Xenopus tropicalis: one gene and its partner. Each later gene encodes a partner of the first gene's protein in a complex. Links are inferred from orthologs where the notes say so. Each region holds a gene or a part of one and is shown in the gene's direction. Other genes may lie near its edges. The genes, in order: mchr2 and pmch.

Evidence for each region.
Region 2: the proteins of mchr2 (region 1) and pmch are in contact, whole or in part, in a cryo-EM structure (PDB 8WST), measured with the Homo sapiens proteins. The link is inferred for Xenopus tropicalis from reciprocal best matches to the Homo sapiens genes MCHR2 and PMCH. Residues at the interface, in NP_001035269.1 of Homo sapiens: His82, Gln92, Trp93, Gly96, Gly97, Thr110, Asp113, Gln117, Ile175, Phe177, Val181, Ser183, Cys184, Ala185, Phe186, Leu188, Thr189, Ser190, Pro191, Val194, Tyr197, Thr198, Tyr267, Gln271, Asn274, Met277, Glu278, Gln279, Pro280, Phe284; in NP_002665.2 of Homo sapiens: Leu151, Arg152, Cys153, Met154, Leu155, Gly156, Arg157, Val158, Tyr159, Arg160, Pro161, Cys162, Trp163.

What each region holds. Positions count from the first base shown.
Region 1 is NC_030681.2:81,852,454-81,868,859, forward strand, and holds the end of mchr2 (melanin-concentrating hormone receptor 2), read left to right. Parts: intron 1-889; coding exon 890-1,084; intron 1,085-2,417; coding exon 2,418-2,537; intron 2,538-6,832; coding exon 6,833-7,154; 3' UTR 7,155-7,276; downstream 7,277-16,406. UniProt on the Homo sapiens protein: Receptor for melanin-concentrating hormone, coupled to G proteins that activate phosphoinositide hydrolysis.
Region 2 is NC_030679.2:49,138,770-49,156,560, reverse strand, and holds pmch (pro-MCH), read left to right. Parts: upstream 1-7,428; 5' UTR 7,429-7,471; coding exon 7,472-7,720; intron 7,721-7,882; coding exon 7,883-8,087; intron 8,088-9,906; coding exon 9,907-9,956; 3' UTR 9,957-10,133; downstream 10,134-17,791. Other genes in the region: parpbp (PCNA-interacting partner), read right to left, coding at 10,724-11,031, 12,703-12,865, 13,193-13,274, 13,929-14,107, 15,294-15,477, 16,124-16,278, 16,463-16,633, 17,681-17,782. UniProt on the Homo sapiens protein: MCH may act as a neurotransmitter or neuromodulator in a broad array of neuronal functions directed toward the regulation of goal-directed behavior, such as food intake, and general arousal. May also have a role in spermatocyte differentiation.

The sequences.
Region 1 (16,406 bases):
CAAGCTATATCGTGATACGAAGTATATAACTTACACTTAGGGGCATATTTATTATGCTGTGTAAAAAACGACGAGAAAATTCGCCACACATCGCCAGGCTTCGCTGTGTAAAAACGGCGTAAAATCTGCGTAATTTTTTTACACGGTGTAAAATCTGGCATTCAGACGGCGATCTTCTCCGTTTATTTTACACAGTTCTTACGCCGTTTTTCAGGAAATTTGTTTTACACAGCTTAATAAATATACCCCTTAGTTACGGTGGGTCCGGGTGCTCCAGCCCTAGACCCTCAGCTTAGGGAGCCAACCAGAAATACACACTGAGAAAGTAGGCTGGCGCTCCAGATAACCCAAATGTAAAACATCTCAAAGCAGCTCCGTTTATATTAAAAGCAGTCTTAGTTTATTGAATCTATGCACAATATACAAAAAAGCCTTACACGTTTTGTGCCACAAGGGGCACCAAACCATATTGTTATATTAAAAATCATGAAAAGGCTGCATATGTTTTAAATGTATGTATATTGCAATATATTGTATAAGTTGCTTCAAATTATATTTACTTTTCAAAAAGCTTACGTTGTGTTTGTGTGGAGTTCTTCTTTACAGGAAATTTAGTTTATATTGCTATCTGGGTGTGAACAGTTGCACAGAAAACTGCCACTCATTTTTTGCTGGAGTAGCTGTTGTGTTAAAAATATTACTATGTGCCGGTGATGTAAAATCTTTTTTTTTTCTTTTTACAAAATGCAAACTTTTATCCATGCCTATATATTGCGTATCTTACTCATATGCATCTTATAAAATACATAAATACATGCCAATTTTATACATTGACATCACACTTGGACATTTTCACTGCACTATACATTATTGGTTTATTTTCCTGCAGATACATGGCCCTTGTACAACCATTTCGGCTTACAAGCTTGAGGACTATATCAAAGACTATTCGAGTGAATGTTTTGCTCTGGGCAGCATCTTTTATTGTGGTGTTTCCAGTGTGGGTATATTCCAAAGTTATACAATTCAAAGATGGATTAGAAAGCTGTGCATTTGATTTAACAACACCAAACGATGTTCTCTGGTAAGCTTTAAAATGTGCATAGGTATTTCATTAATGCTGGAAAAATTGAAAAAATAGATTCATTTAAGTTACTGGAAGAATTTAGTCAATTACAATAAATACGTAATGATGACTTGGTGCCTTTTTCACACCCCTCTCTGTTAATCCCTCTGATGTTCCCTACAGTACTGTTCATTAGCGAGTTGAGCGAAAAAACGCGAGTTTTTCGTAGCCATTCCGAAAGTTGCGCAAAAACTTTCGGAATGGCTACGAAAAACTCGCGTTTTTTCGCAAAAATCGTATTGGTAACGAAAAAGTCGCGAAAATTTCCGAAAAAATTGCAAAATACCGATCATTACGAAAAAAAACGCAATCGGACACATTCGGCCCGTTCGTGGGTTAGTAAATGTGCCCCTTAGTAATAAAACAGAGCCTTTCTGTTTATTTATTCAGGTGTTGATGATTAAAACTCTCAAAAAGATAAGCATACCTTGTAGAGTATATTGGATCCTTGCTAGTGTATGAATATTTAAAGTGGTTCGCCTTTCTAAAAACTTCCAGTATATTATAGAATACCCTATAGTATTTCTAGCAACTTTGAAACTGGGTTTCATTATTTCATTTTTATACTTTTTGAATTATTTTCCTCCCTCTTCTTCCCCTTTCTAACTTTCAAATGGGGGTCACTGACCCCACAGTCAAATGATTGTTCTGGAAAGCTAAAATGATATAGTAATTTTTTATTAATTGTCTTATTATTCAGCATCTCTCCTATTCATATACTAGTCTCTTATTCAAACCACTGCCTGGTTTCTAGCACAAATAAGACCTTATCAACCATAAAGCTGCTGAAATATCAAACTAGAGAGCTGCTGAACACAAAGATAAATAGCTTAAAAAAAATAAAAAAATGAAGACTTATTATAGATTGTCTCAATGTCTACATCAATGATCCCCAACCAGTGGCCTGTGAGTAACATGTTGCTCCCAGTGGCCTCAAAGTAGGTGCCAGTTTTTAATTTTCTGGCTTGGAGGCAAGTTTTGGAAGCACAGAGACATAGTTTTCACATGGGGCTACCAAATAGCCAATCACATTGCTTATTTGGCATCCCCAAAAAACTTTTTTCATGCTTGCGTGGCTCACCAACACTTTTTACATCTTCATGTGGCTCACAAGTAAAAAAGGTTGGGGATCTCTAGTCTACATCATACTTAAAGGAAACTACCCTTTAAAGCATATTATAGAAATACCATAATTTGCTTCCCTCCTATTAGGGTCATTGTTTATGTATATTAATAAAAGGTGTCATTTTTATACCCCTCACTTATGAAGTCACGTATGTTTCTTTTGCAGGTACACACTTTACTTGACCATCACAACTTTTTTCTTTCCATTACCACTTATTTTAGCGTGTTATATTTTAATCCTTTGCTACACATGGGAGATGTATCATCAAAACAAATCTGCAGGACGGTAAGAGATAAATATTTTCACCTTTAATGATTACCTTGGTAGTGACATTTAGGGCTGAGATGAGATGGAGACGTGAAGATTAAGAGCAATAAGCAAAACATCACCACTTTTGATACTATTCCATTGGAGTTTAAGGGACAAGTTAAGTTATTTCCAATTGTCCCTACTACCAAAATAACCATTTTGGGAATTACTTTTTTTAAATCAGTCCATTCATTTATATGTGCTTTTGAATTAAGTTCATACATGATCCTGGGGTTCTATGCTGTGCAGCTGGAAGAGGTAGTCCACAAAGGAAAGTGAAGATTATAAACAAAGGATAATTTGGATAAGGATTTAAAAACTAGACACCATATCTGCATATTGGAGACAGGTGGGGTCACATGCTAGAGACTGGACAAGTGACATTCAAGCAAAGACACAAGAAAAATTAATGCTACGCAAAAAGGGTGGGCTTGAAACTTCAAAAGGAACAGGACTGGAGCAAGACTGGAATGAGACTGAAGCTCGATAAATGTACTAGATCTATACTAGGACAGACTGAAATCTTAAGAAAGCACCTAGGAACAAAATAACTTTGACCTGCAAAGCATGAAGAGCAAATGCCTAGCCACAGTTTAAATAGGGATAATTGGCAAAATTATGGCATGTCATTGTGGTGCCACAATACCATGGAGTTCTATTTCCAGTTCAAAATCATCTTAAGAAATGGAGCAAATCTGCGTGCACATGGGAAGATGCAATGAGCACCAATGTGGGAGCATTTTTTAAGCAGGCATGGATTAGCAGCGAAATTCTGTGAAATTTAGGCACAAAATTCATGGTTGCACTCATCCCTATGCACCACTTGTGTGTGACACCTACTGGAAATCACAAGGGTTTTTTCAACTTTTTTTTCACTTGTCCAAAGTGGAAGGATTAGTGACAGCAGATATTTCAGTCCTGCAATTGCTCTGATGAGAATGATTGGTATGTAGTGATGAACAAATTTTTTGCCAGGCATGGATTTACAGCGAAGTTCCGCATTTCGATATTGCCGATTTCTTTCGCAAAACTGCAGCACAATTTTGGTGAGGAAAAAGTCACAGTCGCATCAAAAAAGTCATGGTCGCATCAAAAAGTTGTGGTTGCATCAAATAAATCATGGTTGTGTCAAGTTCATCACGGGCGTGTCAAAAAAGTTGAGCACATCAAAAAAGGTGCATTTTGCAAATTTTTCAGCAGTTTTGCAAATTTTTGCGGGACAGATTCGCCATCACTCATGGCATTCTCAATCAAAACCCAAAGGCAACAGCATTTAGCCATTTTCAAAATAATAGTTGCTTAATAATAGTTTGTGCCAGGAAAGTAGGCCATGAACAGAGGTAACAAATACTGTGTATAACCATTGAGACTCTTTTTTATGTGAAAAAGTACTTGGAGCTTGAAAACTTATGAATTGGATAAGATTTAAAACCATACTGAAGGAAAAAATCTCTCTTAAGGAGCACTAAGGCTGAACAAATATTCTTGTTACTAGGATTTATCACTTTTTCAACCACTTTGCTGGGCAAGGAAAAAAGATTTGTAGAAGGCAGCTATAAATAAACACCACTGGTGGAATATACTGACTATTCTTTTCTATTACTTCCAGTAGCATCCCTAAATATCTGTTCCCAGTAATGCATGCCATGAAATATATGAATAGCTAGGACAATATCCATAATCCACTGAAATTGGCATGGCTGCATTGTTCTAAATGTATCATATATTACAATATACAAGGGATGATAAAAGATAAAGGATTATTTCCTGGCAAGAAATTGTTCACGTACAGCATTATTGTGTGTGTTCACACATAATGTTAAAATGTATTTGTACTTGTAAATGACGATGTAGTCCAACCTTGCCAAAGGGACTTTTTTATAAGAAAAAGAACTAAAACTGATATGATTCATAAAACTTTGTTGCTTTTACAATTTTACCTTCAGGTAGGAAAAAAGTGATAAAGTTCACTGACTTATATTACAGTATAAAAACACAACATAAATTTAATTTAAAGGTTGGTGAAATAAAAAAAAAAAAGTTGCCTTAATAAAAATGTAATATGGTTAAGGGTGACCTTAACTTTAATAATGCAGTTATATCTTAAAATGTTGACCAGCATGCCCTCTAGCAGCTTTACTTTCTGTTCATAGAGATGCCATATCTACTGCAAAGCAGAGATCTTCATATAAATGAAAAAATACAGTGTACCTATGGTGCATATTATAATGAATTCTGACTCCCCCAAACATTAAGTGGCTCCCTCTGTATTTATGGAATCCCTGATGATGGATTATGTGATCCAAAATGTGTAGGGAGCCACTACAAATGCGCACAGTTGTGGTACAAGGAGGGGGAGAGACACTAAGAAATAATTTGCAACATATGTGCGTGCTCATGGGATAAAAAGATGGCAAGCTGGCCCAGAGATTGATACCATTTGTGATATGCGTATATGTTTGAGTAAATATACTCTATTGGTGCTAGTCATTTTTAATTTTATTATAAATCTAACTCCTTAAGTAAATATTAAAAAAATATCACCAAAACTATGTCTGCAATATATTAAAGGAACAGTAACATCAAAAAATTAAAGTGTTTTAAAGTAATTAAAATATAATGTGCTGTTGCCCTGCAAAAAAATGGTGTTTTTGCTACAGAAAAGCTACTATATAAATAAGCTGCTGTGTAGCCATGGGGGCAGCCATTCAAGCTGGAATAAAGGAGAAAAGGCACAGGTTACATAGCAGATAACTAGTAGATAAGCCACATATAATGGGGGTTTATCTGTTATTTGCTAAGTAACCTGTGCCTTTTCTCCTTTGAATGGCTGCCCCCATGGCTACACAGCAGCTAACTTATATAAACTATAGTAGTCTTTCTGAGGCAAACACACCAGTTGTAGCAATGCAGGGCAACAGTACATTATATTGGTATTACTTTTATACACTTTCATTTTTTGGTGTTACTGTTCCTTTAATTATATAATAGTAATTATATTATTATACTACCAGTGTGGTTGGAAAGGTCATCTTAAGGACAGGATAATATGTATTTATATCTATTTTTTATTTACTGTATATAGTGCTACTTATGTACACAGCACTGTACAGCAGAACAGTACATTAATAGAACAAATGGTGTCACTACAATAATAAGTACAGATAAATACAAAGTACCGTTACATTAAGAAATAGTGTCAGTAGACAAGATAGTAATGTTACATGCATTGTGAAAAACCAGTAGTTAGTATGTGTGTCTTTTAGTGTATGTTATTTTATGGTATTTGATAATAGAATAACAATCAATACAATGCCATTATTTTAACTCAAAGGCCCAGGTGTGTCCATGAATTGTGTGGTTGCATCATTATAATTCTAACATATTTGACTTTTACTCCAGTTTATTCAGAGAGGAAATAAATGGCATCCATTAAAAAGGGGTAAATAGAGACCCAAGGGTATGTTGCAGTGAGGTTCTTTTGTGTACCATTGGCACCTTGTTTTTTGTTCATGTTTATGCAGGCATTGGACTATATTTTCTAGCAATAAAACCCAAACACTTCTATGTCAACTTGATATTTGATTCCAAATTAATTTTGTCACACCTAAACTGCAGAGTAATCTCCTTGTGTTAGATAATAGCAAAGTGACTGGGGTAAAGGAGGTAGGGAGGATTCTTTCGAAAGCATCATATTCCATCTGTGTGAGATGCTTATTTTAGAGAGCCAGTGAATGCTCTATGAAGGGGTTATGTATTAACAGTCATATAAGTCTACTTATATGTCTACAGTCTGTGTCATTTGCCTGTATCTAGTAAACCATAGCAACCAATCAGATGTTTGTAACCCCAGACACAATTTCTAAATCACTAAGCTGCACAAAATCGCCCAACTTAGTGCTTGTTTACCCAGCACTTATGTTTGGGGCATTGTGCAAGATGCAGAGAGCAAGCTAGGTAACTTAGTAAAGGAGAATGCATGCCTCCCCCAGCCCGCCACTTATTAGTAGAGTGCCGCCAAATGTCATTTTTGTGCACAAATTCCTGCGTCTGTGGTGGTAATTGTGGGTCAGGGTGCAAACATGCTTGCGACTGTTTTTTTTCTACTTTTCATACCACCCTGCACTTTGAAATTCCCCCCTAGAAAGCTTGTATTTATTCCATATTGAATGACTTATCTGAGGTTTTATCCATAGAGAAACCTCTGAAATATGATAAGATACAGTTATGAAAGCCATGCAGTATTAAAGATTTGTTTTTCTGTCTTTCAGATACAACAACAGCATACCGAGACAGAGAGTCCTGCGTCTTACCAAAATGGTACTCGTTTTGGTGGGGGTTTATATTGTCAGTTCTGCCCCCTACCATGTGATACAGATTGTGAACCTTCAGATTTCTCAGCCATCACTAACTTTCTACGTTAGCTATTATTGCTCCATTTGTCTCAGCTATGCCAGCAGCGGCATTAATCCTTTCCTTTATGTTCTTCTTAGTGGAAACTTCCGCAAAAGACTTTCTGACTGCACCAAAACGAAAATCAGAATGTCAGAGCGGGAGCTAAATTATATAGATACTTTGAAATCCAGCTTTTAATGTTTTACTTTTTGTTTTGTAAATGTAAATTGCACAAAAGGCTGTTTATCAATTTGTGTTAGCAACAAGTAGAGAGAACTCTGTGGATATACTTTGTGAAATTAAAAGTAAAATGTCCAGGAAAGGAGAATAGTTTATGCAATAATGAAAGGCTGACCTTGGGTGCTTTGATTACTGTGTTTTAAGTAGCCCATTTTGGTGCCAAAGTAATTTAAACTTCCCCTATTAAACTGCATAAGAATGGCTTATAAGTGTCTATGGAAGAGCTTGGCAGGCAATAGTTTGCCTAAGTGGACTGCTGCTTTTCAAGGCAACTATTGCCTGACAAACCCTTTGCATAAGTCTTTTTTTACCTGGGGTGCGTTGGCACTGTATTTTTGGGCTACTTAATGCAAAGCCTGAAATTTACATGTGTGCCATTAACTTATCAGTGAAACAATGAATGATGTGGGGTTGTGGATAATTAGTAGTGACTTGAGCTAATTACAGCTATTAAATTTACAGTACGTAAACCACAGTAGTAGTTATGTAGGAATAAATACTAAAATAGTTTAATAGCTCCCTATCTCAGCCTGTTGGAAAACCCTGTTTATTGTTCATTTCAGTAGGAGAAAGGATATGGCTGTATGCCTGATGCTTCAGATAGACATTCTCCGTTCTTATGTTTCTTTTGGGATCCATTATCCAGAAACCTGTTATCTAGAAAGCTCCGAATTACGGAAAGGCCATCTCCGATATGCTCCATTTTAATCAAATAATTCAGATTTTTCCTTTTCTCTGAAATAATAGTAATACAGTATCCTGAACTTGATCCCAGCAAAAATATATTGGAGGTAAAACAATCTTATTGGGTTTATTTATTGTTTAAATTTTTTTTAGTAGAATTAAGGTATGGAGATCCAAATTATGGAAATATCTCCAAGCATTCTGGATAACAGGTCCTATACCATAAGCATCTCACTTGGGATGATTAACCCTAAGGCACCTCATTGAGTCTTGGCTTTTCATGATCATTTAAAGTTATATAAGACCAATGCATAGTCAATGGGGTCCCTAGTCAGATGGCAAGTAGAGGAATGTAATGATTGGCCTCAATAATGATATAATACCTGCACTATAGCTATCTTAATTACTATTCACCACTTGCTTAGACTCCCAAAGGGTTGTAGGCTCTAGAATGCTAATAAATAATTTTGTAATTGATATATAGAGCAGTTTAAAATATACCTTTTCCTTTTAAGTTAGCAGTAGATAACTCTGCATTTTAAAAATTCAAATACAAAGCATATGAATATCCACAGTGCCAGAAAATGACCATATTTATTTTGTTAGCACTAATAGGACTTAAGTTTGTGTTCACTTGTAGGATAGTCTGTTAGATTAGTCATATTTATTACAATGTGTATAGAGAGTGTATTTATATGATGTGTTCAACAATGATTCTGTATAATAAAACTATTTGGACTATCATCTGTCCAAAATTCTATAATATAGATGCAGATTGTATAAAAAGAGATTGAGCTGTTTTGGTTTTTAAAACAGCCTTATTCAGCCTACCTTACTGTGATTATGTGGCAATTGCATTTATGTGCACAGTTGCCAAAGATGTACATGTCAGCATATTTTATAAAACACTGTATAAACAGCGTGAATAATAAATATATGATAAAAAGGAGTATATTACTTTCATGAGTTTAAAAGTGAATGTCACTGTGCAGACTGTAAATATACAGACACATTATGATCATTCACTTGCACAATACACAGTGCTTGAATTGGAGTGAAAAAAGTGGAGGGATGTTACGTACACTGCACGTAGAGAGGCGTGCCAAAAATAAGCCCCTCCTACTATTACAAGCCATGACCACTGATATAATACACCTTGCCCACCAACACTTCTGGTTTCACTCACTTTAAAGCAAAGCCATTTGGCTATTTTAATGTACTGAACAGGTTGATACTCAATATGCAAAGATTTACAAGTATGTGTAGTAGTGCATATGAATTTTCTCAGCCTCTGCAAACACGGCACCCTGCCTGCATATTGTGTGTAGTAAAACAGCATATTTTATATTACCCCACATTATTTAATATATATCATCCTCTCACCATTCCTCTGCTACTGTTCTCTACCTTTATTTTCTCTGTTTGTTTCCCCTATTTTCTTCTTCTCTCCTGTTCTCTATAACCCTATAATACTTGTCCATCTCTCCCCTACGTCTCTCCCAGCAATAATTCTGGTATTACAAAAAAAAAGTCCCAGGATTCAAAACTCTTGCATCACCCCTGAGGGAGTGGTGTTTCTGCCATGAGGAGAGTTGAGAACTTTAGGTGGTAGTGGTCCAAGTCACCAAGGGTGGCAAAAAGCCACTCCTGGTAACATTGTAAATAGCAACATCTATAATAACTCTTTAAAAAAAGCAAACAAGAACAAAAAGCCACAAGAAATTTGATTATCCTGGCAAGGAAAATAGCAAGAAAGTAAGTAACAAAATATAGGGATCTAAAAATAGAAATGTTGAGAAAGTGGAAGGCTACAAAAGTCTATGGGTCAAGTGTATAGGTCTGTGATATGAGAATCATTTCTGTACTGATGAATAAAGTGTGAATTTTTAATCCAGTAACTTGCTCTGTGGTGCTCTGAGAGATACACATTTCCATCTAAAAACAGAAAATTTGTAATCAAATATAATACACAATTTGCATGGAGAAGTAGAAATGCCTGCTGGTAAGGCAACATCTTGCCAGCTAATTAGGAAAGATAATGAAGCTGTAGAAATGTTAAATGAATTGCCCACTGAGTAGGGGAACAGATAACAAATCCTAAAGCCACAACTGATTGTAAGATTTAGATTTGCTGAAACATGTTCCTTGGAATTATGGATGACTGTATTTGATTTTTTGGGTTCTTACGCAGAAAAAAAGACATGTACACAAAATGGCAGGATCTTGTCTGGACTTTACTCTAAACAACACAGACAGACTGCTTTTTTTACAAGGTACACAAATCTCTCACTTTTGAAATTGTAGTCTTCCTGACTGCTCCAAGGATTTCTCACTAAACACCCCAATTCGCACCCTGCTACTCACAATTTAATATACAAGAGATCAGCTGAAATATCAGCATTCCAAGGAAGCTTCATGCTTTTAGGAAGGAACTAAACCAAACCTTCAGTCTGTCCCATTGCTCCTGCTAGTTCTCATAAGAAGTTGACAATAAAACACAATTACACATGGAAAACAATTTGTCAATGTGAATTATACTGACCAGAAACTTACTATGCACTATGCCAGGAATTCTGCATTTATCTTACATACAGAGATTATTATGTTGTTATTATTATGTTATTAGTATGTTATTATTATGTTATTAGTATGTTGTTGAAACCAAAGTTTCAAATATGGGCTATTGATGACCCCTATGTGGACAGACAGTCTATAAGAGGCTCTGTTTGACAATACTTATGGTTTTGATGTAACTAAAGCTTGCCTTCAAATCAATCAGTTACTCAATGCACACCTACTAACCACAAAAGGCAGAAAATGGTATGTTTAACATATAATGCTCTTTATAAGGAAAATATTCACAGAACAGTAAATACAATTACAATGCATAATATACATTCCACCAGTTGGACAAAATGCAATATACAGAAGCTTACCCTCAAGCCAGGATTAAAAAATAAGCAGGTTGGTAAAGAACATGTTGCTCACGAGCCACTGGCTAGGGATCACTGCCATAATCAAACATGGGAATAAAGGGCAGACTTTCAACTCACATTGCAAGGCCAAAGAACATCAAAGCAAAGCATCTGATTGGCTGCTATGAGCAACATCACCAGTAATTTTTCATTCCACTTTATTCACAGCATGATAAATATACCCCTTAATCTTGATAACAAATAAAACTATGTTGGGACTTGTAGTCCCAACAATGCAGTGGTTGAGCAATTCAGTATAGTATTGTTTATTGTCCTGTAATAATTGTTTGAAAACAAAAAAAAAAGCATTGGAAATGGATAGGTATATGCAGCTCCCCTTCTTTCCCAGTGGATTTTGAGGTAGAAAATATTTAAAGTTCAGCCTTTATTAACTAGAGTCCTAAGTAAGTAAAATAGTTCAAAATTTTCTACATTAGCTGTAATCTTCATATGAAATATCAAAATGAAAAAGTATTCATTCAGGGAAATGATTCTCCATAATTATCATTTGGGTTCCTTTTCATGTTATTTATAATTTCTTGACTATTTGTCAGTAATGAGACAGGCTTGAGAAGATAAACAGACAGCTATTTCCAGACTGGACTTTTAATAGAATAAATTCAGTCAGAGTCAGCGATGCATTAATCATCTCTTTTCTATAAATGATTTCCCTACGGATCAGTCTTTATGATTGAAGGATTGTAGCTAAGGAACATGCATCAAAAGATAACTCATATTCAAAAAAGGATGAATGAAAATCTATTGAACCTGCTGATAATTAGTAACATATACCCGTGCATTTATTTCATGTGGGTATATTTCTTTGTCCCATAAATTCAGCATGCCGAAATGTAACAGTGTTTGTCAGATATTTTAAGTAGTAAGATTGTGTTGAAGCAACAGGATAAGAACGAGTTAAAGGATATGGAGGATGCAATAGAATTGTTAAACAGTTTAGAGATTGTGAGGATAGTCCTGTCTCAGTGGTTTTGTTATTGAGCTGGTGAAACTCAGTTTAGCCATGGACTTTCTTCCTGCCTTGCCTTCAAATGCTAGGGCCTACCTCTAGTTATGTTGGGTTGAAAACCCCAACATACTGTTCTTCGACTTTGGCTTATTCTTCCGCTTCTTCTTCTTATTCTTAGCGCCCCCCATTTTCTAAACACTACTCCTCCTACAGTTTTAGGGGTACAACACCCAAACTCGCCACACAGCTTCGCCCTATAGCAGAGCAGGTTGCTTGTACTTTTCTAAGCGATCCGGCCCCCCGTCTTTTTGTGGTGCCGCTCCGAACCCCCCAATTTTCCCATTGACTTTGACAGGGAAGATTTTCAAACTGCTGCCACTCTTACAGCTTTGAAGCTACACCCCCAAACTTGAATAACATAATCATGGGGTCACCCCAAATGAAACAGCAACATTTTTTGGATGACCCCAAAGTGGGAGGGGCCAGCAACAGCCAATCAAATTTCACCCATTGACTTTAATGGGGAAATTGAAACTGCGGCCAATCTTCCAGCTTTGAGGCCACACTCCCCAAACTTGAATCACATAGTCATGGGGTCAGCCTGAATGGAAATATGATGATTGCTGGATGCCCAAAAGTGGGCAGAGCTGTGAACAGCCAATCAGATTTTACCTATTGATTTGGCGGAAATTCAACCTGCTGCCATTCTCACAGTAATAATGCCAGGGTCCCCAAACTTTTTACACTTGGTCACTAGGGGACTGCAGTTTTAGATTTGAAAAGTGGGCGGAGCCACCAACAGCCAATCAAATTTTACCTATTGATTTTTATTGGTTTGAAGCCAGAGTTCCCAAATTTGCACAGCCAGTCACTGGGTGACTACACACTCAAGTTTTTTAAAAAAAAAAAAACCACACAGTGGGAGGGGCCAACAACAGCCAATCAAATTTTACCCATTGACTTTTATGGGAAAATTGAAACTGCTGCCAATCTTACAGCTTTGAGGCTACACTCCCCAAAGTTGAATCACATAGTCATGGGGTCAGCCTGAATGAAAATATGATGATTGTTGGATGCCCAAATGTGGGCGGAGCTATGAACAACCAATCAAATTTTACCTATGGACTTGGCAGAAATCCAACCTGCTGCCATTCTCACAGTAATAACCCCAGAGTCCCCAAACTTTGCAGGGTTAGGCACCAGGTAACTGTGGTTCAAGGTAAGAAAAAGTGGGTGGAGCCACCAACAGCCAATCAGAGTTTACCTATTGACTTTCAATGGGGAAATTCAATCTGCTGCCATTCTCACAGAATTAACACCAGGGTCCCCAAACTTTTCACAGTTGGTCACTAGGGGACTGAAGTTTGAGTTTTGAAAAGTGGGCGTAGCCACCAACAACCAATCAGATTTCACCTATTGAATTTTATTGGTTTGATGCCAGGGTTCGCAAACTTTGCACAGTCACTGCGTGACTTCGTACTCAAGGTTAGAAAAAGTGGGCGGGGCCGCCAAAAGCCAATCACATTTCTTTCATTGTTTCACATGTTTAATGTCAGGGTCCCCAAACTTAGCACAGTTTGTCACTGGGTGACTATGTTCCAAGTTTAGAAAAGTGGGCGGGGCCAACAACAACCAATCAGATTTCACCTATAGACTTCATAGGTTTAAATTTAAACTGCTGCTATTCTTTAAATAATAATACTAAGGTCTCCAAACTTTGCAGAGTTAGTTACCAGGTAACTGCGGTTCAGAGTTAGAAAAAAGTGGGTGGAGCCACCAACAGCCAATTATATTTTAACTATTGATTTTCAATGGGGAATTTAAACCTGCTGCCATTCTTACAGTATTAACACCAGGGTGACTAGGGGGCTGCATTTTTTAGGTTTTAAAAAATGGGTGGAGCCACCAACAGCCAATCAGACATCACCTATTGATTTTTTTTGTTTAAATTTAAAATGCTGCCTTTCTCACACTATTTATGTCAAAGTTCCCAAACTTTGCACAGTCAGTCACTGGGTGACTACATATTCAGAGTTAGAACAAGTGGGTGGAGCCACCAACAGCAAATACATTTCCACCCATTAGATTTCATTGGTTTATATTTAAACTGATTTCATTATTTAAATATTAATTCCAGGGCTGTTAAAGTTTCCAGAGTTAGTCACTGGGTGTTTGCCGTTCAAAATTCGAAAAAAGTGGGCGAAGCCACCAACAGCCAGTAACATTTCATCTATTTACTTTCAATGGTGAAGTGTAAAATGCTGTCAGTCTCACTATTTTTATGCCTAAGTTCCCAAAATTTGCAAAGTTGGTCACTGGGGGACTGCAGTTCAAAAATAGGAAAAGTGGGTTGGGCCAATCAGATTTCATCCATTGAATTTTATTGGTTTAAATTTAAAATGCTGCCGTTCTTTAACTATTAATCCTAGGGTCCCTAAACTTTGCAGAGTTAGTCACTGGGTAACTGCAGTTCCAGGTTAGAAAAAGGGGGTGGAGCCACCAACCGCCAATCAGATGTCACTTGTTGACTTTCAGTGGGGAAATTTAAATTGCTGCCATTCAGACACTATTAAAACCAGGGTCCCCAAACTTTGCACAGTGGTTTTTACTATATAACTGTGCTCCAAGGTCAGAGAAAGTGGGCAGAGCCCATTCAGTGACGTCATGTTTTTCAACCCAACATGAAGTTTGTTCTCAAACTTCCCTTTCTAATTAATACTACTGTCTGTCCTGTTGACTCCTGTCTGTTTCCCAGCCAGAGGCCTCCTAGGTCTCTATTTCAAAATACTTCAACCAGTCACCGCTGTGACTCCATTTAGGTCCCCTGGTGGTCCCTGGTGACAGATATAAATGGTAATATAGTTTCCTACACGCCAATGTAAAAATTAAAGGAATACTGTCATGGTAAAACAAAAAAATTGTTTTTTTTTCAAAACTCATCAGTTAATAGAGCTTCTCCATGCAGAATTCTGCATTTAAATCTGTTTTTCAAAAACAGACATGTGGCCTGTACTCTGATAAACTTCAGTCGCACTTTACTGCTGAGCTGCAAGTTGGAGTGATATCACCCCCCTCCCAGCCGCTGATCAGCAGAACAATGGGAAGGTAGCAAGATAGCAGCTCCCAGTAGATATCAGAATAGCATGCAATAGTAAGAAATCCAAGTCCAGCTTGGGACTCCTCCAGTTAAATGGGATTAGAAGAAACAATAGGTTACCTGAAAGCAGTTCTAATGTGTAGCGCTGGCTCTTTCTGAAAGCTCAGACTCAGCACAATGCACTGAGATGGCTGCCTACACACCAATATTACAGCTAAAAAAATACATTTGTTGGTTCAAGAATAATAGGGTAGATTGAATTATTGGCTATGTAAACAGTGTAATTTAGAAATGAAAAATACACCATAAAATTATTACAGATCCCTTTAAGTTAAAAAATCCTTTCCTAAAATCCAATCTAAAAATTAAGTTATAAATCCTTGCTGTTATCTCTCTGTCAGTACAGCTGTTCACAAAATGTTCTTGCTGTGATGTACATCTGAACATTCTAATGGCTGCTCTCTTATCTTTACAATTGCTCTTCAGTTAACATTGTAAGACTGTACTTGTATACAAACTATCCGGTATACATGTTTTACATGAGAACATTAACACTGCTAACGCATCCTACAGAATGGCAAAAATAGATGTTACTGAGCACTAATTTAAGGGCTTCCCAAAATACCAAAAACTTGACCTGATTTACTAATATATATCAACATCAATATCAATTAATTAATTAGGGCCCTGCTGGGCCCTTTTCTTTTCTGGGCTTTACTACAGTTACAGGATCTTCTTCCTCCATGCCAAGTTTAGGAGGAGAAGTTTTCTTTAAAAACTTATTTTCTGTAGCTAACCTATTTGATTTTGCCATGGACTCGTTGCCAGTTCTGAACTATTCTTTGCAACTGTTTGCCATTACTTAAGATTTTCATTATTGATTTTCAGAAGATTATAGATTCTTAGAGAAATTCAATTACTTGGGTGGCTTGTGGACTACTATGGCAGTATGTCAGGGACAATATGGATACATGGAAAGCCCTTATGGGGTTTTTCACTTCTGGGAATTTTTATGGAAGAGATGTGAAACTAGTATGCATATTGTTTCTATCGCATCAGTATGAATCACTGCAATGTAAAGCCCCTTGGCAAAGCCCCTTTATTGTAAAACCCCTTCAAAGGTTGATGAATCCCAAATCATTGCCCAGTTTGTGGAACGAATAAGCCACTTTTCTTTCACCATTTAGGAGTACTACTGTTCTTCTTATAGCACTATATAAATACACACAGCTTAACAAAAACTCAAACTTTACAGTGCTCTTTTTGGATAACGCATGCCCAAAAAAAACATTTTGAGTGTATTTTTGTGTATCACACGGATTGTGATTTCAGTTCTTCAGATCTATTAGTTTTGTGAAGCTTCTGTAGCCAGTGTCATAGCAGAGTCATTGCTTTTATTCTCCAATATTGCAGAATGGGTGCTCAGCTGTATCTGAAGTATCTAGAGTGATTTCTTATATACTGCTTGGGTTGGAGAGGTGTGCTGT
Region 2 (17,791 bases), on another chromosome or scaffold:
AACTGTAATACACACAAGTGCCAATTGCCCCTTTATATCAAGATGCTTTAAAGCTCATCTATTATGTCTTCTTTAAAATCCAGTAACTATACAATTAATTGTACACAGCTGTGAAATAATTCTGTATATGACCTAAAATGGGCTTTGCTCTTAAGTACTACCAATAAAGAAAAAAGATACAATAATCAGGGTGATGTAGTAAAAAGTCTTAAGTCTGACCACATCTAGTAATCAATAGCAACCAGTCAGATGTGTGTTTCCAAACAGCTGACCTGTAAATGCTGTTACTAGAAAAATAGGAAGACCATGTATTACATTACTCACAATGAATCAAATTATACAAATAACATTTCAAAAAATTTGGTTCAAACAAGTGACCCAGCAGCATCTCCCATGAGTGAAAAAATCACCTTTTTATGTTCTGTTGTAGAACAACTTCTGTATCTCTGTTAATAAAATAATTATTGTGCTGAACAGCCATTATTCTATTAGACCTCTTGAGTTTAAATACTTTTCAACATATGTACTGTATGTTGGGTATACCATTAGCAAAATCATTAGCCCCAAGGCAAGGAGAATCCATTGCTAACTAAGTGGGCACTGTTGTCTGGGGTTTTTTTGTGTAGGCTGTATACTGATCTGAATATAATCTCTAATTTGTATCATCAGCAAAAATTGTCACTTTCAGACTACATATTACATGTCTTTATTGTCCGCTGCTGCTCTCAGCATCTTTGATGTCGGAAAACTGCTCCTGCATATTGACTTAGGTTTAATATACAGTGTATGTAGGGATACATTATTTGCAGTGGCATATATATATATATATATATATATTACAGGGGGCAAACATCTTCCATAGTTTTATATAAATAAAAAATATGCAATCTTACATATCTGTCTGAATCCCACTATGTTAGATAATACCCATACCTCTGTTTTAGTGTTGGTAGGGATGATGCTCAGTAGAGAAGAGTAGAGTAGCTTTACAAAGCTAGGGGGCACAAATAAGAATGTTTTGGGGAAGGTTTATGTCCTTTATAAGGAAAGCTCATTATGAAAAGACTGTTCATCCTATAAACAAACACTGGAATAATTCCAGTATCTTTGTTCTAAGACACGTTACTGTGCTTGGTTAATGGCTAAAGCAATAAGTGCTGCTTTCCTGCATAAAAGAAGTTTTCCCACAGTCCAGCAGTCCAAACATTAACCTGTGATGTGAAATGCTTTGCACACTGCTTTAGCCATTGTGGTCTCAGGTCTACCTTATTAAAAATACTGTTACAGTAAACTGTTAAAAATGATTGATGTTTCAGCTCCATCTAGTGCAAAAGTGATCTAAGTACAATTAGGTTTTACAATAGGTTTGTGTGTGGGTTTACAGAAACAAATGATCAAATGAGAAACAAACCTAATCCTAATGAAAATGATCCTTTGCAGCTAAGGACAAGTTTAAACCAGAAAGCAAAATTAGATAAAGATTCAAAACGAAAGCATCGCCAAGTAACATTAACATAATGCCAATTTTTTTTTATCACAAGTGAATATGTCCCACAGGTCTGATCCTAAAGTGAGCCATACACAAGATCTAGCCAGTTTTATCAAGATTTAGATCACAATAGACCTATGCTGACCTATCATAAGAGGATTGCATCAACATCTCAATGCAGTTCTCATCCACCTTGGCTTTTAAACCTGCCTGACCAATAGGTGGCACATCCATATTAACATATTAAAGGAACAGTAACACCAAAAAATGAAAGAGCTTTAAAGTAATAAAAATATAATGCACTGTTGCCCTGCACTGGTAAAACTGGTGTGTTTGCTACAGAAACACTACTATAATTTATATAATAAGCTGCTGTGTAGCCACGGAGGCAGCCATTCAAGCTGGAAAAAAAGTAGAAAAGGCACAGGTTACATAGCAGATAACAGAAAGTTCTGTAGAATACAATGGTGTTTTATCTGTTATCTGCTATGTGCCTGTGCCTTTTCTCTTTTGAATGGCTGCCTCCATGGCTACATAGCAGCTTATTTATATAAATTATAGAAGACTTTCTGAAGTAAACACACAGCTTTTACCAGTGCAGGGCAGCAGCACATTATATTTTAGTTACTTTTATACACTTTCATTTTTTGGTGTTCCTGTTCCTTTAAGATGCAATTTTTGCTTGCCAACATTATGTTGTAATCAAGCATTAGAAAGGAGGACATTGAGCTGTTCAAATCTAGAAAACATGTGAAAATGCCCTCATCAATGAGATAGTCAAGTGTAAACAGAGCAGGCAGTACTCTTAGGGTGAAGACACACGGAGCTGCTTGTAGCAACTACTTTTTCACAACTACTAAACACCAGAAAATACCCTGCCATAGACAATACTGAGAATTGCCTCTGCTAAAACACACATAGAGACAGTTATCAGTAAATGATCAGCATTGTCTATTTTAGTAACCACTACAAGTAGCTGCTACTGGTAGCTCCATGTGTCTTCACCCTTACAAAAAGTTACTTTTGAATCATTTGAACCTCTGGGCAGTATTTAGCAGTATTTCTTAACCTACATTTAATAATATTATTACTACATTCATTTACAAAGCACCAACATAGTAACATAACAACTGACAGACAAACTGACACAGTAGGGAATAAGGTCACTGGCCTCAAGAGTTTCTAAACTAAAGCAATGGGGATAAGTGAGACACAAAGTAAGGTCCTGGAGAAGATCGCAGCAACATGGGTGGGAAAAAACAGCTATGGAATGGTTTAATTCCCCTATAAAGCCTAGATCACAATATAATAGAGACTTGTCTACTAGTTAAAACATTACCCAGAGTCAAACATGCTAATCTAATGGGAGCTTCAGGGTAGGGATGGCTCCTGGCTGGTAGAAATTATGCTGGATGCCAATGTTGTTATTGGGGAATAACAGAACCCTACTCCTGGGTCTCATTCAAACTGATAAGCCACTGTGACTCTAGCCTTTAATTTGTATGTAGTTATGCCTCAGTATCCCACTGTATTCCCAATGTTTTAAGGAAGTCATATAATTATAGGTTTATGTCATACAAAGATCTCCCATCCCCTATAACTGCAGTATATGGCATTTAAATGTTAAACTGTGGATCGTAGGCAAGGAATAACAATTACAGACACCAAACACAGAATTGTTATATTCTTTCTTTTCTTAACTATAACATTAGAGGGATGTAGCCCTAAATTAAACTGTACCATTTTCATTTTTGACGAGTCTGAATTTTCCTTTTTCGTGCAACAATTTTTTTTATGTGCATCATTTTCCGCATTTCGCGAATTTTCCAGCAAATTGAAAAAGGACAGATTTGCTTATAAGTAACCTCTTTGCACCAATATCTATTCTGTGCTACTATATCCGAGGATTTTTTTGCCCTTTCTTATGGAGTTAATTATATTATGATGAAGACATAGAAAGCAGACTATAAAACCTATTGAGAGACTGAAGAGGGAAGGTCTAATCGCATCTATAGTTCCTTTAATATACAACACTGAAATATAGATATAAATTTGTTTGTGTTATTTTATGATGCATAAACTTTACTTATTATTTACTTATACTTACTATTTATTATTTGTAAAATAATTGTTTATATTTGGAAATATTTGGAAAACGCTATTTAGGTTTTTCTTCTCACATTGATGTCTGTATTAAAAATGACTTTTTGTTCAAAGTTGCAGATGACGAGCACCTCCTATTTGCCAGTATCAGCCTCTTGTGAACAGTCCAACATACAAAATAAGACACATAATCTATCAAAATGACAGAAGCTTCTTTATTAAACATGATGTTGAAAGAAGCTTAATAGAGGATTTGTGATCACAGCTGGATTCTTCTGCCTTCCCATGGATTACAAAGTCAGAGAATGATATGTACAAAGGTGAACATTTCAATGAATAAATCAGATCACAAAAGCTGGATTTTATGAGAAGAAGAGTTGAAGGACTGGAGAGATAACAAATAAACTAATCTTCTTCTGTACTGAAGCCATGCCAAATATTGCACTACACAGGGTGCTCGAGAAATAGCACAGAATAGTCACACTATTTATCTAAGTCATTCCATCTGATCAATGTATTGAAATAACTGTTCCTTAAAATCAGTCTTTTGCTGTGGCCATTATACAGAATGGCATTCTGTAAATATGGCGCAGAATTCCCATAGATTTTCTAAACTATAACCAACAATCTGCAATTGTTAATATAAAAAAAAAAAAAAAGTTTTGTAACAACTCTATTAAAGGATTGTAAACTTTACCTTTAGGGCACTGAGTTCATAAAACTACAGAAATACAAAGGTATTTTAAAAGCTTGTTCATGTTTGGTTTGTGCCTTTATTCGGTGTATGTGAACTTCTTCCACGAAAATCTTTCCTTCTTAATTTTGTAGTTAAAGGGGTAGTCTACCTTTAAATTAACTTTTAGTATGATATAAAATGGCATATTCTCAGTTGGTCTTTATTTTTTATTTCTTATAGTGTTTGAATTGTTTATCTTCTTCTTTAACACTTTCTAGCTTTTTTGACCCCATCAGCTAAAAATGAATGCTCTGTGATTCTTCAATGTAATTGTTATTGCTACTATTTATTACTTATCTTTCTATTCAGGCCTCTCCTTTTCATAATCCAGGCTCTTATTCAAATCACTGCCTGGTTGCTGGGGTAACCTCAACCCTATCAACCAGATAGCTGATGAATTTCCAAACTGGAAAACTGCTAAAGACCATTTGCAAATTGTCTCAAAATACCACTTTCTATTTTTATCCTATTTGGGTTAATATCCAAACCTTTAAAAATCCCAAAATTAAATCTTTACATCTGGGAGCAAATATTTTCTTTTCAAAAGCGAATAAATGTTGTATTCAATGTGAGCAGCAGTAAATCAGTTATATTTACAGATGCTTTCAGCTACATTTTGATAGGCTGCCTTTTTTGTTTCTCTTTTTCTCTGCTCCTAATAACATCAGAGACCAGACTAGGTTATTATAAAGTAGTCGGTGGAATAAATAAGAATTCTGCCGGATGACCTTTTAAAGCAGTAGTAGAGAGATTTCTATTGCCTTACTAGGGTGTGTGATCTACAATGAATAAAACTGGATATTCATCCATTCCCTTAGCAGTAAATGTGTCATAATGTTTATCGGCTGCTGATTCATCTTCTGTAAAAGTTGACTAACTTAAATGTCTGCAATAAATAAAAACTGAACTGTAGTCTGAGCTGATCATTTTAGTTTCAGTAGTGGCCTGTCTCTCACCGCAATCCATGTTTAATCAATATACTAGACTACATTAAACATAAAATGGTTAGAATGGAAAGGAGACTCTTCCTTCGATTCATTGGAACATTATTTTACATCCAAATTTCTAAGTCAGTAAAGCATGAGTTAAAAAGTTCAGTTTCTTTAAAAAAAAAAAAAGACTGGCCTATTTAATTTTATTAACAGAAAGATGTTGCATTGCTTTCAAATGGAAGGAAAATCATCCATCATGAAGACAGCAATTTCTGGATCACATTAGATATATCAGGCTAACGAGCTTCCTTAAAGCTCTACGAAACACTATAAATACACCCCATAGAATACTTATCTGGAAAACCAGCTCTTCCCAAACTTTCATTAAGCCTACATGTGCAATGCCATTGTTGGTTAATACTGTTATTTTATTTTACCTTGATTTTCTTTAAATAATGTTTTTAAGGGCTATGCTGCTTCTCTCTGTTAATATATGTTTCACATGACTTGATTATACTGCTACCCACAAAGAAATAGTATAGCTGAAATTTATTTAATAAACATAACAATGAAGGGTATATTTATCATGCTGTGTAAAAAGTGGAGTAAAGGATTACCAGTGATGTTGCCCAGGGAAACCAATCAGCAAATAGATGTCAACAGTTAGAAAACCAAAGCAAAGCATCTGATTGGCTGCTATGAGCAACATCACCGTAAATGGTTTACTCCACTTTTTACACAGCATGATAAATATACCCCATTATAATCTCTTTTTTTTTTAATTCCATTTGTAACAACTGTAATGGAAAATCAGTTTAAAAAAAAACACCATTTAAAAAATAAAATCCTGAGGTTTAAATTTAATACACAGCATATACATAACCTTACTTCATTCAGGTGAATCTGTTTTACATTTGAGATTATTTTGTGCCTAATGAAAAAGTAATTACACAGAACATAAGTCAAACCATGGGCCAATTTTCAGGACATAACCTGGGGTTTAATTTTCAGGGAACAATACTAAAGCTGACAGCATAGTGAAAGTAGCAACATCCTTGTTGAGTCAGTCCACAAAAATTAACATTACTGATAAACTATCTTTGACTTGCAAGCATGAAATGAAGCTGATAATAATTTAGGACAATTATTTGTAAACACTGCACAACTGAGAGGTACTGTATCAATGGAGATATGTCAGCTTATTTGCCAACATAAGTGGAAATCTGAATCAGTGCAGTTGTTCATAGGAACAAATTAAAAAAAATAGAAAGCAAAATCCTGCTACTATAGACTATAGTGCTAAAGGTGCTAGTGCTAGTGGTAAAATAGAACATTTATCATGGTAATTCAGCATCCATCCATACTGCTCAAGGTGTTACAGATTAGTGCAACAAAAGAAGAAAACAAGAGGCCTGAACTACTAACTAGGGCTCATTTATGTCCACAGTTGCATTCCCTGCATTTTCCAGTCAGTTGTGCATAAAACCACTTTCGTTAAAGTTAATTGCGCCAAAACAATCTCATTGCACTTCTGTATAGTTGCGCTAATCCTTCCTGGCTTGCTGCTGCGTCTATTGATATATGTACATCTCAGAATACTATCTAGGCTTCAGCAGGGAAACACATTAAGTGGACTGGAGAGATTTGCTGTAAGAACATGAATGTGCAGATATTACCAGGGATTCTAAACACATAAGCATTTCACAGCAGGGGTTAAGTCCAAACATAATTTCAACATAGAATACTTGGAAAATGTAATTTAAATAATTACAAAGCTTCACAGTAAGTTGGAAAAAGAGCCAACTATGCTGCTAAACAGAACACACACAGGTCACAGTGTGTAAGGTTTTAAATCAAAGTACTTCAGTGTAATAAAGGGTAGGCTATTGAACATTGCTCAATACAGATTCACAAAGCTATTAGGGACATATTGTTTGTTAGGGGGAAAAACATTTAGTGTCACCTCTCTCTATACATGTACAAAACCCTTTTTTCATGGATTAATAGGAGAATCCCTTTTCTTTAGTTATTATACATTTTGGCCTCTTGACAATTGAAAGGTTTTCTTCTGTGTGACTCATTGAGAGAAACTGCAGGTCTTCAGATCTTTTGTGTGAGGCTTTTCTTCAGTAAACCATATAAAAGGGCTCCCACCTCTGTCTGATATCACTTGCAGGCAAATCAGATAGTTGGCAAAGGCCTACGTAAGCGATGGTAAGGATGATTACTTTAGGATACCCACTCTTAATATCACTCTCCATCCTTTCTCAAGGTTTCCTGATTGCTGTGTCAAAATCCATCAGGAAAGCAGAAAATGATGATTTACTTCTTGATACCATTACACTAAGAAAAGCTTTTCGAAACGGTGACACGCTAGAGAAGCCAATAGGAGATCCAAACAACCAATACAAAACAGATGGAGGCAACATCTTAAATGAAGAGGAAGAGAGAAACATGAAGGTAAATAACATTTTACATATTCTCTGCATCAAGTGGCATTAGGCAATAGCTGCTTTAAAGCGAGTAAGTCTTTAATTATATGATATTCTTCTGGCAATTTTTTTCAATTGCATTTAATACGTTGAAGCTCATATTAGCAGAATTGTTCTACTTATCTTACAGACCATAGATTCTCAACAAAATTACTTGAGTCACGATGGACTTCCACTAAACATTGGAATCAAACAGATGCCATACCTTGCATTTAGAAACTCATTACATCACTCGGAAAATGAAGATCAGAATGCAGAATCAGCACAGGAACGGAGAGATATTGGAGATGAAGAAAATGCTGCAAAATTCCCAGTAGGAAGAAGAGATTTTGACAGTAAGCATGCATGTGCTATTTATTATAACTACTGAATTTATACACATTTCAAATGTTTCCCTGTGGCACCTCTGACTAAGTAGGGTTGCACAGAAACCAGTTCATTCCCACACCACTTTTTGCTAGTTTGAAATAACAAACCACGTTTTTTGCAAGATATAATTTCTGAAACCTTAGCATTTAGCTGAATGGAACCAGAGCCCTTAGTATCATGGAACTAGTGATAGAATGTTTCTTTGTAGGTGATGAAGTTTTGTTGTTTTTTCTCAACTTAGGGAACAGATTTGGTTTCAAATTTTTTATGTCAGTGCATCAGCTAATTAGTAGAACGCATAATTCTGATATTGTCAGCTTATTTTATTCACTTGAATATATGATCAATAGGATCTTGTGAACTCTAGCCACAAATGTGGATCTTAACTCACAACATGGATCAGTCTAAAGTGAAAGTGTGCTGCTACTCTGTGCCTGGTAGGCCTATGGGCTGTTACATGAGTCAGTGTCAATGGCCAACCAGTATTTATCATTTGTCAAAAATAGGTAATCTTGGTAATACGGATCTGTGTATGTGCACATATATGGCTAACATTAGTCTTCCCCACTTATATAATTGCAGAATAATTCTAGTAACAGTGACTTAATAATCAATTGTAGTAAAGCTTTGCCAATCATTTCTTGCCAAGTCATATTCTACAGGCAGGATAATGTCACACAAAGAGATACAAAGATGTTTCCTGAAGTTATACACACCAAGGTCTACCTTTGTAAAATTAGCTTGGTGAAGAAAACAAACAGCAGATTCTCCACCAGAGAAAACATGCCAGATACTTTCATATTTCAGAGGCTTCTGAAGGTTGCAACATGACCTACAGTCTGTAAAAAGGATAACAGGCAAGGGCCCTTGCTGTGTTTACAACAACTGCAGAAAGCAGGAGGCTGCTCTGCAAAGGCCCCTGGGCCTAATGGTGTATTTAGTCCCAATTAGCGACCTGCATACACGACAGAAAAAAAATGAAAGATTCTCTTAGCAAACTGTATTACCTAGTGCCAAAGTTAAAATGGCACTCTATACGTGCATACGTACAAATCTTTAACATATTTCCCAACACTTTGTAGTTATTTATATTCAGGTATGGGACCGGTTATCCAGAATGCCAGGTACCTAGGGTTTTCTGTATAAGGAGTCTTTCCATAATTTGGACTGCCACACGTTAAACCTGCTAAAATAATTTAAACATTAAACAAACCTAATATGAGTATTTTACCTCCAATAAGGATTAATTATATCTTAGTTGGGATCAAGTGCAAGGTACTGTTTTATTATTACAGAGATAATAATGGAGATTTTTGGATAACAAATCCCATACCTCTGGTGTGTTAGAATAGAGAATAATTGCCAAGCTATGACTGACCAGTATTCCCATGGGTGTTACTAAGTGTTACTAGTCACTGGCCAATTTGGTACACTCAAATCATAGCTGGTACATCCATTACTTAGCTAAGGCTGGCACAGACCAAAGGGCATGCCTTCACCAGACTATGCAAAATGTACAGTTTCTCTGCATCTAGCACAGGTGTCCAATAGATGCTGTTTCAACACTGTGTTGGGAAAATATTGAAACAGACCCTTTACCAAAGGTCCAGTTAATATTTTGGGTCAATGGGGCACCTAATAATGTTTATTGCAAACAGCTATATAGATTTTCCCTTGCATTTAACACATATATTTCCATAAGTATGTTAATGTTATTACACAGGTATAATAAAACAAAAGGATGATGAATTCACAAAATGGGGTACATGTGTGTTTGTTTTTCAGTGCTCAGGTGCATGCTTGGAAGAGTCTATCGACCCTGCTGGCAGATATGATCGGCAAAGACACTCAAAATAAATATGAAGACAGTGTTTTCAAAGACTGAATGAACATTACGTATTTGCATACCATATCGTATATGTAACAAAAAAGGAAGCAAAAGAAAGGCACCAGTATTTGTTGTGTAATTTTATTAAAAACAAAATAAAAAAAAAAACCTATGGCAACCCTAACTGTTTGTAAAAGTATAAAAGTATTTACAAATAAAATAAATCAAATAATTTTCGGCCATAAAAATATTTACATTCAATATTACAGCCAGTTGCAGACACAGAAGCTATTAAGACAGAATACCTCCAACAAAATGAAAAGTATAGATACTCAAATTGCTCACCTGGGCAATTTGCAATATTTTTTTTTCTAAAACAGAAGATACTTTGTATATCAAGCAGCAACTACCAGGCCTAACACAAAAGCTTGTCTAGGAATTAGATAAATATGCAGGCAAGGTCTTTAAAGAAAATATGTCTCTGCATCTTTATCACTCTGCACTACAGGGCTGGGTAGGGAAGAATCAGCTTTCAGTTGGCACAGTACATAATCCAAGTACCCATGTCAGAGTATGATGCTTGATCTCCCTTACACTAGGCAAAGCAAGGTTCCCTGAAGCATAGAAGTTCGGTGCTCCTCATGTCTGGGTATCAAAACATTCCAAAAAGGTGACAGGGTTCAGAACACAGTATATACAGAAAGGCTACTCTTTAGAAACATTTCCTACATATTTAATTTAACCCCTAGAAGGGTTAAAACCAGTGACAGCAATTTACACCCGGAAGAAACTGGTTAATTTAGCTTGTCCGGCAATTAGTTTGTTCTTTGATGAAGATTTATTGCAGTTTCTTGGTACACACGGTTTATTTTCCTTTTTTGATGTTATTTCAACAACTGCTTTCTTTTGTGGGGGTTCATTCTCCTGTGCATTAGTGGTTTCACTCTGTATGTCCACCTGCTTTCTCTTTGACCTTTTGTTCGCCACATTTTTGCATGGTTTGTTCTTAACTTGCCCACCAGTTTTCAGGTCAATATTTCCAGAACTTAATTTAAGCTCTTGTTTCTGTAAATCACTATTTTCTGAAATAAAGCAAAATAAAATCATAGGCTTCTGTTATACAGCTATAGTTTCACCCGAAAGTTTGTTAAACCCTTAAACATGTTCAATATTTTTTGCGTAAATGTCCTAAATCCTCCTCATCGGTTTCTCACACATTTCTTACAAGTCTTAAAAGGACATCTTAAACCCCTTAAACCCCTGACAAAAATAAAATAATCTGTAACCAGCCTCTTTGAAATATTTAAACACCAACCACTCCTCCAAAAAAAACTCAGCCCCCTCCCTTGGGAATTAACTTTGGCTGTTGGCTTCTGAGCATGCTCACTTCCAAGATAAGGCAGTGAATCTTCTCAGCATAGATTACTAAACATACCCCTATCCAGTCTAGGGACCAATGGAAAGATGTGAATAAATGCAGCACAATATTATGCAATTGGGTGGGGAAGATGTGCCCAACTCATTTACATGTTAAGCATATTTAAAATGTACATGTCCTATAAAGCTATATAAATAAACAGACAAATTAAATGAGTCAACCATTACACATGTTTGCAAAGGAGTGCAATACTCTGGAAGATCTCAGAGAATCCCAGGCTAATGTCCCAGAAACTAGTGTTCTCTTTTGCATTGGTCTAATGTCCAGTGGTTGACACAGGATATGGTGCTTAAAGGGTTACACAAGATAAATGTAAACAAGGCACCTGGGCCAGATGGAATACACCCTCAGGTACTGAGAGCTAGGGTCAGAATTACAGTGGCCTTTGTTTCTGATATTGTGTCCTATATTTAAAAAGGGAGTAAGATCTCAGCCTGGCAATTATAGGCCTGTAAGTTTGACATCTGTGGTGGGCAAGTTATTTGAAGGGATTACATACAAAATTATGTACTGGAGAATGGCATTATGAGCAGTAATCAGCTTACTACTATGTTACTATGTAATGTCCCCTCTTGCATTAGTCCACCATCTGGGGAACACTGAACAATGGTGTGTGCATGACAGGCTTGCAAGGAGAAAGCCACGGCTATACATGGGCAATTCACAGGATAAAGCCCACCAATATCGGTGAGTTGAAGCAATGTTATAAAGAGGAATGAACTAAAAATTCCTCCAAGCCAATGTGCAGGACTGATTAACAGTTACTGAAAACTTTCAGTTGCACTTAATGCTGTCCAAGGAGGCATGTTACTGAAAGCAAAGGCTCCCATACATTTGCCACACGCAAATGTGTAAATCTGAATTATTTTCCTCAATTAATAAATGAAGGATTTTGCATTGTTACATTATCTTTCCTATCTTATTTTAGGAAAAGACCAAAGTCATATTTATGCATAAATATAGGGGGGAAAATTCATTTTCATCACATGCAGAAATGCAGTAGGTCAGACAAAGTTCTCCAGAACTACCTGCACCACATGGTTTGCATCATTCATGTAACCAATAAAAAACAAATATTCCATTTCCCATATGTAATAAAAAAATACAAAGCTTGCCGAGGCACTGTAACCATGAAAATAAGAGGTTAGCTTTTACACAGGTGTCCAGTAAAGGCTACCTGCCGGTTGCTATTCGAGATTAGATCTGTAACAAACTTTCATTACATAACCCCTGGTCTCGTGAATTAAGGAATGATCACCCCAAGGCAAAGTTGCACCAAGTTACTACACAAGTTAAAAAGATAATGAAATCATACCTAATGGCTCCTCGTCAAAACAAAGCACTGGAACAATTCTTGGTGCCGGATGAATACAAGTTGGAACTTGGCTCAGACTTGGAAAATCCCATTGTTTTATTTGAGCCAAATTACTGTCTTTATAGGTGCAGGCAAACTGAGATCTGATTAGGTTTTGTTTCAACTAAAAATAGGAAAAAAAAAAAAAAAGATTAGAATACAAATATTTAATCTAGGGATTCTTCCAGTGAGATTAATGTTTAGATGTACTGCACATAGTGGGATATTTTTAAACCTACAACCTGTCATGTCCAAATTGAGGCCAGCAGCCCCCTACTGAACATACTTGCCAGTAATTATACTGTACATTACTACATTACATTCAAATAGAAAAAATGTATGCAAATGCATTTTCTTCCATTTTATTGTTTTAGATGTGACTAAAAATACCATAAAAAGGATAGAATACACAAGAATATTTAAGATAAACAGAGAATCTGCAGATGTTTACCTTAGGCTTATTTTTATCCATGGCTTTCTGCACACGATGGCTTAGAGGTTTGGGGGAAGAACCATTTTTCTGTTCAGGAGACCTACACACGAAATGTAAAAGGAGATAGCATTAGTATATACACAAATCATTACATTGCTGTTAAAAACCATGTAGTAGTGAAGCTGGGGGATATACACTTGTTATTTTATATATAAACTGCTGGTTAAGTTAAAGGGCCTATTAAAGAATCTTTGCCAGACTAGAATATAAATAAAAATCAGTAAATATTGCCCTTTTACATCGTTTTCCTTGATCCGCCATTTAGTGATGGGCTGTGTGCTCCCTCAGAGATCACATGACCAGCTTTGACTGTAACAGGAAGCAAAAGACAGAACCCTGTCCATTATTTGGCTGATGTGGCCTAGCATGTATGTGTGCCTTGGCTTGTTTGTGTGCACTGTGAATCCTGTGATCCCAGGAAGCGGCCCTTAATTCTTAAAATGGCAATTTTCTATTTAGGATGAAAATGGTTTATTTAGATAAGAGAGAGTTTTACATATGAGCTTGTGTATGCAATATATTTTTATAGAGATATTTATTGTTAGTGGGTATAGTTTTCCTTTAAGTGTCTTAGCAAAGGCTTTCAATATGGTGACATGGAACAGAGAAAAGTTTATTCTAAAATAGATTGTCTTAATACTTTTAAATTATGTCTTAATACACACAAAAGTAGAGAAATACATAATAAACATACCTAAATAGGGTAAAGAGAGAAACTGCTCCAAAAAGAGTATTTTCTTCATCAGCACAAAGAAGATCTGCTTTGTTTTTGCTAGGGGGATTTGCAGCTTCCTCATCCAAAAGTTTCAACAGAGTTTTTATCATTTCCCTACCACCTGAAGCAGTGCCACGGTTTATTGCATGAATTTTAGGCTGTAAACAAGAACACCTCATATTAAAACTGGTTTCTAGTTAGGATGGGAGACTTTTGTATATGCTTTCCAATAAGTGTCAAGAAAAAGAATTGAATGAAATCAAGTTCCAGGCCAAAAACATAAAAATGACCAATTTCCAGAAATAGACTCTCCTTAGACTTTCATACAGGAAATGTCAGCATTGCCTAAAGGATAAAGCCTTGCAGGAAACCAGTCAATGAGTGTTGCAGCCCTGAGGTGGGGCTGGAAAACACTTTGCCAGCTTGGCTTCTATTTGAAGCCGAGTAACCAGCGTGGTGGTTTTTTTACGGCACACACTGTACACCAGACAATTACCTTTTCTATTCTGATACCCAACATTGAACCAGCTGAGTCTCACTCTGTCTAAAGTGACAGGTGACATACTCACTTCAGAGTTCCAAACGGTCTCTGGAAGCAATGTCAGCACACGAACAAATAGTAAGGAGTGTGAGATTATCATGTGTGACCAGAGGCAAACGGGAATAACTGCATAAGCAATGCCTAGTTAGAATTGGTCACAATGTAATACAGGTATGGGACCCGTTATCCAGAATGCTCGGGACCAAGGGTATTCCAGATAAGGGGTCTTTCCGTAATTTGGAACTCCATACATTAAGTCTACTAAAAAAAACAATAAAACATTAATTAAACCCAATAGGGTTGTTTTACATCCAATAAGGATTAATTATATCTTAGTTGGGATCAATTACAAGGTACTGTTTTATTATTACAGAGAAAAAGGAAAGCAGTTTTAAAATTCTGAATTATTTGATTAAAATGGAGTTTATGGGAGACGGGCTTTCCGTAATTCAGAGCTTTCTGGATAACGGGTTTCCGGAAAAGGGGTCCCATACCTGTATAGAAATTGAAGCATGTATTTTGGTGAAATAAGAATAATACCAAGAGACCCCTCTAAAATGTATATAATAACACACACACACACACACACACACACAGAGTGTACTTTCTTCAATTAAACATATTGGGAAACACTAGCTATTTTGTGCAGAGATTGTGATACAACTCATTCCTTAGGTATACTTTGACTTTTCCAAATGTAATATGTTCAAATGTATATTCTGGGCATATATACATACAAACAATATTGGACCAACAAAAACTGCATTACATAGTACTACTAAAGTAGATAAAAAATAGTTTACCCTGGCTGGGCTGATGCCTGGGGTGACACTATATTTGTCCTCACTAAGTAAATTAATAAGGTTTTTAATCCTCAGATCCAGGTCTTGTGCAACGTCAGTCGCAGCCTCACTAAGTGGATCCCCACTGCTTCTGCCTTTTATGAGATGCATCTTGATGGTTGACAATAACAGCTCCCCTGCCGTTCTGAAATAGAGATGTTGAACAGTGTTGCTTTTTTTTTAAATAAAATTATTGTGAAGAACCTCTTAGAAATCTATTTACTTTATTCCAAAAGGGCCATCTAGATACATTTAAAAAAAAAAACAAAAATCTTATTCTTATACATTCCAGATAAGTAAACATATGTGGCACTACCAACTAGATTACACTGAGAAACTAATTTCATATTACCCAAAACGAATAGGTTTCTGCAACAAAATAGGATTACCATATCTAAAGGGGATATTTGGACGTTTGAAAATATTAATGTATATTGGAAAGTTACCAAATATTTATAAAGTAACGTTTTGAAGTCAATTACAAATGTAACTGCTATTTAAAGCAACACCTGTCCTTTCCTAACTATACTCTCAACTACTTGTTCTATTTGTACTACTGCAAGATTGTCGGAAGCCAAAACTCCTTACTAAGACTCCAGTTCCCACAATGCCTTGCTTGTCTGTGGTTTGATGTGTGCACCAAAAGATAGTAAGGGTTATTTTACAATGCAAAGAGAAGCTTTGAAACGTACCCATGCAGCTGACTAGCTATACACCGAAAGGTTTTGCTATGCAACAGCTATGGGGAGTTGCTAAAATATCAACATAATACATCAGAAAAGGTTTATTACCTTGGATCATTTGTCTCTCCAAGAACTTCATTAAGTCTATCAACAAAGTGAACAAAAAGAGAAAGTCCTTTCAAGTGTTTCCTTAAGGGATCTGACTCAGATGGTGCATAACCTTTACCTCCAAGCTCAATCGTTCTTATGAAAGATGTAGCCACCTTAACAGAATTCAGATGATCATACAAAAGAAAAAAAAAATTGTGAATTTTAAAATTAATCTGCACAATAACCAAATTGAGAAAAAGAATGCCCAGGCTAATAAAATAACATGGGAAACAATTCTGTATGTACAGAAGGCATGCAGGAAGCTAAATGCACACAGGAAAAAAATATACAACATACCAAGAAAAGGGACATATTCTTCATTCGTGAGGTGTGTTTAAGGTCAGTGAAGGCTTCTCTTCCTAATCCCCTCTCTGGGCAATTAAGTACTTGGGCCAAGGCAAAATCATTTTTAGAGTTCACCAGCAGATTTAAATAAGCAAGAAATATTCTTTTCAGTGTTGCCTTTACCTGATTTAAAAAAAATAAAAATATCAACATATCAAAGTAATTTACATATCTGTCATATTACAGTATTTAGGCTTATTAATAGCAAAATTAAATGGCACAAAGGCTTAAAACAGCAGTTAAAAATGCTATAAGAATAAAGGGCACAGTGGCCAGTTGGTATTCAGCAGAGGGATTAGTTCTTCTTTATTTGGATTTTTAAGTGATGTTTGTTTTCACAATGAAGTACAACTACATGTATAAAAAAGACCTACTTGTATCAAACACATTTGCTAACGTGCTTAAGTCGGCCTCTTGCACAACTGATTATTTTTTAAAGACTATGGTATGCAAAAAGCCAACTCTTATTGCTAGGGCATAGAATGTTACATTCCCTATTTTGAGAAAACAGAAGGCTTGATCTGACAATGGAGGGACTTAACGGTAAAACCATGGTTTCTTTTTTTACACAACCGAATGAAGTTGAAAAATTAGATTTAGAAATAGCTATGCATTTAGTTTTAATAACAATCATATATTGTAGGACAACATTTCACTGCAACATTGCTATCACAGAGACCTATTCAAACCAGCAAGATGACCCCATTTATGGTTACATTGTAAATTAAGCTGTTACTGATTGCAGTCACTAGTACACCTACTCCAATTCTCAATAACGAACAAAGTTCACAATATGTTATTATACAACACAGCAGCAGTACAAGGATATCAATGGCTTGTGTGATATTAGTCTCTTTGTATAGCCACTGGTTGGGGGATTACGGTACTACAGCATGCCAGGAAATGGTACAGGTATGGGACCTTTTATCCATACCTGGGTTTTTTTTGGTTTTTTTTTTGTTTGTTTTTTTTATAATTTGGATCTCCATTCAAAAATCATTGAAACTTAACTAAACCCAGTAGGACTGTTTTGCCTCCATTAAGAATTATATGTTAGCTGGGCTTTCTGGATAATGAATCCCATACCTGTATATTAAAATGAAAAAAAAAAATCTGAAGGGCACAGGAGTTACCAAGGACACAACTGCAGTTAACAATTTAAGAAATTACCTTCACAACATCAAAGTTATTTTTACAGGGAGTTGATACCACTGGAAAATCTTTATCTCCTGAAAAGCATTCATCTTCAGTGAGAAATTCTAATAGCTGTTCCTGTTTAAA